Coturnix japonica: one gene and its partner. The protein of the gene in region 1 purifies or fractionates together with the protein of each later gene. This does not show direct contact. Links are inferred from orthologs where the notes say so. Each region holds a gene or a part of one and is shown in the gene's direction. Other genes may lie near its edges. The genes, in order: COPE and SACM1L.

Evidence for each region.
Region 2: the proteins of COPE (region 1) and SACM1L purify together in Homo sapiens (affinity purification with mass spectrometry; 4 studies listed by BioGRID and IntAct, with this or other methods). This does not show direct contact. The link is inferred for Coturnix japonica from reciprocal best matches to the Homo sapiens genes COPE and SACM1L.

The regions. Positions count from the first base shown.
Region 1 is NC_029543.1:2,778,502-2,781,390, forward strand, and holds the end of COPE (coatomer subunit epsilon), read left to right. Parts: intron 1-250; coding exon 251-406; intron 407-663; coding exon 664-732; intron 733-1,183; coding exon 1,184-1,258; intron 1,259-1,803; coding exon 1,804-1,851; 3' UTR 1,852-2,155; downstream 2,156-2,889. UniProt on the Homo sapiens protein: The coatomer is a cytosolic protein complex that binds to dilysine motifs and reversibly associates with Golgi non-clathrin-coated vesicles, which further mediate biosynthetic protein transport from the ER, via the Golgi up to the trans Golgi network.
Region 2 is NC_029517.1:39,390,749-39,394,570, reverse strand, and holds part of SACM1L (phosphatidylinositide phosphatase SAC1), read left to right. Parts: intron 1-200; coding exon 201-234; intron 235-1,639; coding exon 1,640-1,741; intron 1,742-2,306; coding exon 2,307-2,392; intron 2,393-2,537; coding exon 2,538-2,624; intron 2,625-3,049; coding exon 3,050-3,118; intron 3,119-3,215; coding exon 3,216-3,295; intron 3,296-3,805; coding exon 3,806-3,822.

The DNA.
Region 1 (2,889 bases):
TGTTCTGAAGTGGTTCTTTTGAAATGTTTCTTGATCTTTTGATCATTTAAGTGCTTCTTAATATTTAATATTTTTGCATTCCTTTCATCTGTAGTCTTACAGTGATCTCTCAGAGGAGACTCTGTGAATGACAATAGCTCATTTTATAACCCTTCAAATTAACTTCTTGGCCCCTTTCTTTAGCCACAAAAACAGAATACAGCCTTCTTAGCAATACACAGTGAAACTGCATGCTTGTGTCCTTTTGCAGGGTGGTGAGAAGTTACAGGACGCCTATTACATCTTCCAAGAGATGGCAGACAAATGCTCCTCCACCCTCCTCCTGCTTAATGGGCAGGCAGCCTGCTATATGGCTCAGGGCAAGTGGGATGATGCAGAGGGGGTACTTCAAGAGGCACTGGACAAGGTACTTAATGGTTTTGCCTGGCAAATTGGCTTGAATCTAACTATCTCTTACGCATAGAGGCTATAACAGCAAGGAATTTCATTATGCTTTATGAAAATGTCCCTAAGAGTGGTTGCTATTAACATCTGCCTTCTACTCTACCTGTTCTATTAAAGTGAGCTACGGGCTCGTCAGTTGTTCTTGCACAGCAGTGCCAGGTGTTACACTTATTGTGTTAGGGATAAGTCACAAAGACAGGTGATTGTTTTTCTTTCCAGGATAGTGGCCATCCTGAGACCTTGATCAACTTTGTTGTCCTGTCACAACACCTGGGCAAACCACCAGAGGTGAGGCTTATTTTATGGTACTCAAGAAGCAGATCAGGCTGCTCTGCCTGGGGGCAGGTTGTGTGTTCCTACTGTGCCTGATAACGTTTGGGTTTTGCAGTCTTGTGTTCTCACTGGGATTGGTGTTAAGAAAATAAAATAGATTTGGAGTTTTGGGGTGCGGGGTGGTATTCAGTATTCAATAAAGTCTGTCTGTAGACAGGGGTATGTACTTCAGAGGAAAACCTGGGGTGGAGAAAGAGATCTCCCAAGTTCTGAGCTTGATTTTCTCCTTTTGTTGAATCTGCTATTGAAGGTCTTACTGATTTAAATGGGGCTGCTAACATTGAGGGTGCTGAAGAAATCAGCTCTTAGCTCATTGAGAACGAAGTCATAGAAGTATCGGTTTAAACTTTTTTGGCTTTTCTTGGTGTTATTTCAGTATTTAAATCTCCCTTTTTCATCCCATCAGGTTACAAATCGTTATTTGTCACAGTTGAAGGATGCACATAAAAACCATCCGTTCATAAAGGAGTATCAGGCAAAGGTACTTGTTATTTTGCGATATGAAACTGAGTTTATAATGACTTACAGCAACAAGAGGATGGGGCAGAGGGATTTGTTACTAGTAAGCATGTCTATGGTTCTGAAAGGGTCGGCCCATGTTCCTTCTCCAGCATCTAACCACTGCCAGCAATGTTTCTAGCCCTTGTGAGATGCATTGGGAAATGATCAACATCCAGATTGAGTATCTATACGACATATATAGATGAAGTATACCCTGAATTTGGTGGCATCTGGAAAGAAATGCTTTGAGGTCCATCTAACCCAGATTACAGACTTGTTTGTTAGGTTGAGACACTGCTTAAATAGAGAAAATCTTCTGGATGAGAAAGAATGGAGGGGATGGGCAGAGGAAGATAACAGGGAAGGGAGAATGAAATCATAGAGAACTGATGTGGACAGTTTGCTTTTTAGAATTCATTTTGCCCTGGTTGATAGAACTCTATAGCTGAGAGTTACTGCAAGTTTTATGACATTTTTCAGTAATGTTTGAAATTAGTTCATTATATTTTTGTTTCTGGTTTGAAGGAGAATGACTTTGACCGACTGGCCATGCAATATGCCCCCAGCGCCTGAGGAGAGGGGAACAGAGCTGCTCTATGGTACCTGGGAAGTGGGGTTGTTATTCAGATCCTTTCTGGTCACATGGAAAAATGGCCTTTGCAAGTTGGGTCTGGTGTAACTCACTGTGGCAGGGTCTTGCAATGCAGGAGAGCGTTGCTAAGTCTGTATATAACGTGTAGCTACTTGAACTTGGTAGCTAAAAAGCCTGTGTTGTGGCTTTCTTGGGGTTTCAACTGTTTAAAATACGAATCAAGTTTGCAACACTGTACCTTAAACATTCCTAATAAAGCCTTTTCTGGATCTGTGTGCCCCTTAATTTACATTCTGAAATGTAAATTAGTAAACAGAAGTGATTCTGTTCTGAGCCATGTCATGTACTGAGGATGTTATACCTATGGGGGCAGAGTGTGAAGGTTCACTTCAAGTATCAGACTTGGGTTGGTGGATGAATCCTGAGTCCTGGCTGTTCTTTCAGTCTGATAATGACTCCATTTAGGTTAACGTCCTCCGGAAGAAGGATGCACAGCTGTAGGGGTTACTGCTGGGGAGAGGGAAAGCTTCCCCAGAATAGAAATAATCCAATTGTAACAGGCTCAGCCCTGATCTTAAGTTGATAAATGCAACATCTCGTGTCCTGGAGCCAGGAAAGCATTAGAGCTTTCTCTTAACAAAGTACATCCTGCAATACATGCAGAAGTCTATTTATCCCCAGTCATTCCTGAGAAACGTGATGGTCGTTGCACCTGACGTGTAATGGAACATAATAGAGCACCGTGTGATGATGCCTTGGACTCCCGTGCAGCATTTCAGGCTGCTCTTTGTGTTGGTTGGTTGTGTTGTGTCAGAGATACGAAGATCCCATCTGGATCCCTCAGCGGGGCCTCCTGAGCTCTAATATTTGATTTCTCTTTTGAATTTATCTTTTGGGAAGCGTTTTTGGGGGGGAGGCAGAAGAGGGGGTTTATACTACACTGTAAATGTGTCCAACTGGCATTTCCTTTGTGCCCACCTCGCTGTGATCGCTCTGAAAGAGCTCGTTGTCTCTTTCCT
Region 2 (3,822 bases), on another chromosome or scaffold:
CAAAGAAAGCCAAGTGGCTGGTTGGTGAAAACAGAAGGAATGTCTGAAGGAATTACTGCATCCAAAACAAAAAGCAGCAAATTCCAAGCATATAAAACTACGCTTAAAAGCCTCCAGAGAAACCATTATTAGTTACCATTTTTTGTCTGCTGTTTTTTAATAATTCTAAATGCATTGTGTGGCTTTCTTGTCTGTTTCAGATCCATAGGTTTGCTACGCCAGTGATGCATGGATGTATCCTTTCCTGCTGTAAAGATCGGTACTGAATTTGGCAGTCTGTGGCAAAAATGACTGTTGCATGGGTTGCTACATTGGTAATGTAACATAGAATACAATGTCAGAATTAAGTGGTGTTTTGCTCAGATATGAATGCTATGTATTTGGTAGCCCACTGACATGTTAACTTGTATAAATATTCTACTTCGAAGGCTTCATGTAATTGATTTTACAGGCATGATTTGCATAACTGCTTTTCAAGGAAGTAAAGGTTAGGGTGAATGTAGCAAACTCTTACGTCAACCTTAGCACTTCTTACTTTGGTATAAGAAAACCTGCAGTTTGCAGGTTTTCCTTTGAGTTTAAAATAAGGTAGACTAGCTTTGATTTGGAGGAATACTTGTGAATCTTCCTGTTGTTGAATAAAAAGGCTCTTGGATCTCTCTTCCTAGCTGGCTGCTTTTCCTGCACCAGTACCTTTCTAGCAAATAAATCAGTCTTGAAGGTTTTGAGTGGGATGTTTTGTTTTCTTTTGAGAAAAGGAGAAAATTTAACCTTGTAAGCAAGTTTAACGCTCTCTGGTAGCAGTGTGTGATCAACAGGTCCCAGGTTCTGACTTACCCACTCCTTCTTGAACTGCCAGGACTTGACAGAGTAACTTATGCAGCATTCTGTTGGCAGGGTTGCTCTGATGTGTGCGGGGAATGGCTTCCAGGCAGTATCAGTAGTTCTGGTAGGACTGTTAGCAGCTGGCACATCTCCAGTCCTTCTTTCCTGTGACTTCATTGAATGGAAAATGTTGTGGGAGTAGGTGGAGAGTCAAGGAAAGATAGTGAAAGGGAACTGTCAAAACAGCGCAGCCCATATCCTGCCTCTGCCAGGGGCTGGGTGGAAGAATCTGGATAGATTGCCATTAGCAATTGGCATTCTGCAGTTAACCTTCCTCTGTCCTATTTTCATTACATAAATAATTAGCACAAGTTATACACGGTGCTGTAATTCTGACATTAACCAAATGTGTTAAAGAGCCCAAGAATTCAAAGAAACATGTGTGTGATTAAAATGGTAGGAGAAACCTGAAGCAGAACCGTGATAGTCTCACTACAAGCTAATTAATTAATCTCAGATCTTCTTCTATATAAACCTACATATATTTTGTTCAGCATCTTGAGTGGGGTTCCAATCTTGCAGTGTGAAGAAATAGTAGACTTACCTGGGTAATGAAGACATCACTCAAGTTCCTGCTGAAGGCTTGGTGTGCATTCTCATTTGTGTGAGTGTGTGTGGGGGATTTGAAAGCAGGTCCACATTTGTTATAGTCCTGAAATACATCTTTGGGTGTTATCTTCTGGTTCCTTCACTTTGGCTGTTTGCTGATATGTAAGAAATGTTTGGCTTTCTTTTCCTTATTGTTATTCATCAGTTATCTCTATGCATTCCTGTTCTATTAATGGCAAGTGTTTTGACTGGCTGCTTGTTTCCAGAAGAAGCTGTTTCAGAGCTGGTGTACGCTACTATGTAAGAGGTAAAATAGCAAATGGAGATTACTGTACATGTTCTGTAAGGGAGCTCTACTGCTTTCCCACTTAGATTGGAGTTAAATGCAAGCACAGCCCTTCTGGCCTAGCAGTAAACAGAGCATCACTGGTGCTGCCAGAGCAGCCCTGAGCGGTGATGTTCTCTAATTATTAAAGGTGAAAAACTAGAAAGGGAAATAGCTTTGAAGCACTGCTTGTTTTGTGTGTCTCAATAATGCATGCTTTTGAAGGAATAAGTCAGTTTCTGCAGTACCTTTGCTATTGAATTGTAGTTATTAGTGTCAAGCAGTTGCTTTATTTCCTATTCAGCTACTCAGTTTCTAGGACTGTAATCAGGACTATAATTCACAAAATGTGATGAGCACAATTGTGGCTCTTCAGTAACTACACTTGATACAGATCATATTAAAGGTCTGCCAGAGGCATTTTTAATTTGCCATCCTGAGGCAGGTTTGCTGTTTTCATACTTGCTTTGAGGGTAGAAACCCTTTTCATACCTTGTTGCTGTCCTGGTGTGCTCTGAGCTCTTAACGAGGCCTCTATCCTACCCAGGTATTGATTCAGAAGGACACGCAGCTAACTTTGTTGAAACAGAGCAAATTGTGCATTACAAGGGGAGCAAAGCATCATTTGTTCAGGTAAGGCCAGTGTAATAAACTGCTGATTAGCTTAAGGCATGTGTTAATAAATCTGTCTGTATTTGAAAAATATGTTAACTAAACCATTCTGTTTTACGAACTCAAGTAAGTTTTGTTGTTTAAAACTGTTACATTCTCTTTTCAGACCCGTGGATCAATTCCTTTTTTCTGGTCTCAGAGACCAAACCTCAAATATAAACCAAAGCCTCAGATCAGCAAGTCAGTAAATCATGTATGTGAGTGTTTGTCTTGGGGCTTTAATGCATTTCTGGGCTTGTGTAGGTGGGTGGTGTGACAGGCTGTAATCAGAAGAGTGAAAGTCAGCAATATTAGATGGAGGATTATTGAGTAGCAGTGAGAAGTCGTGTGTTCTGTGGAAGAAGTTCAGTACCTGACAAAAGAACACCTGGTTTGAATGAGGGCAGTGTTTGCTCTTTGGTTCTTGTTTTTGTAGTTGGAAAATACTTGTAGCTTGTTTAAGGAGAGCTGGTAAGGGGGGGTGTGGGTGGGGGACTGAAAGTAAAAGTGTGTTAACACAGTAGAGAACAACAAGCACTGTGCTATAAAACTGTGTGTGCAGTATCATTGGAAAGTGGTTGTAGGGGTTTCTTGTAAATCAGATCTTAAATCTGTCATTGCATTTCCTTTCTTTTCTAGATGGATGGCTTCCAAAGACACTTTGACTCTCAAATAATCAGCTATGGAAAGCAGATGATTGTTAACTTGGTATGCTTTCCCTTGTTCTTCTTGAGAAAGCTGCTCTTCTTTCAAGCAGGCTTATAAATAATGCTCTCATTTTTTTTTCTATTTCCCTTTTTTCCAGGTTAACCAAAAGGGTTCTGAGCTGCCTCTGGAGCAGACGTTTGCAAAAATGGTGACTAGCATGGCAAATGGAATGGTCAGGTACACGTGAAGTCAAATTATACTTTCGTGAGCTTAAAAACTCAGCGTTGCCTCTGAAACAGAGTGATCAGTGCTTTCAAGGCCTTTATTAAACAGCTGACTTGTTGATGTTTTGTTCATTTGAAGTAACCTTTATGTAGCCATTGCCCCTTAGATTTTATGCACAGGTGAGGCTGAAGATGGAACAAACAGAACAAATGAGGGAATTCAAGGGTCATGGTAGTGACACAGGTGAAAGGAGATGCATTTCTTCTCTTATGTGCTTTCGGGAGAAAATATAGTAGCCACAACTTAAAATGAGTAACTAGTGTTGTCTCAGGCTAATGGTGTCATTACAGAAGTGTAGATACTGTCACTGTGCACTCTAAGGAAGCAGCCATGGAAAGATTACAGAGCACTGATGAGATCCATAGGTGTAAATTCTGCCACTGCCTTGTTTTGTGGATGTGTGGATTTTTGAGACCTTCACTGCAGTAAGTATGCTAAAAAGGTGCTTCTTCCTCTGTTCAGATACATAGCATTTGACT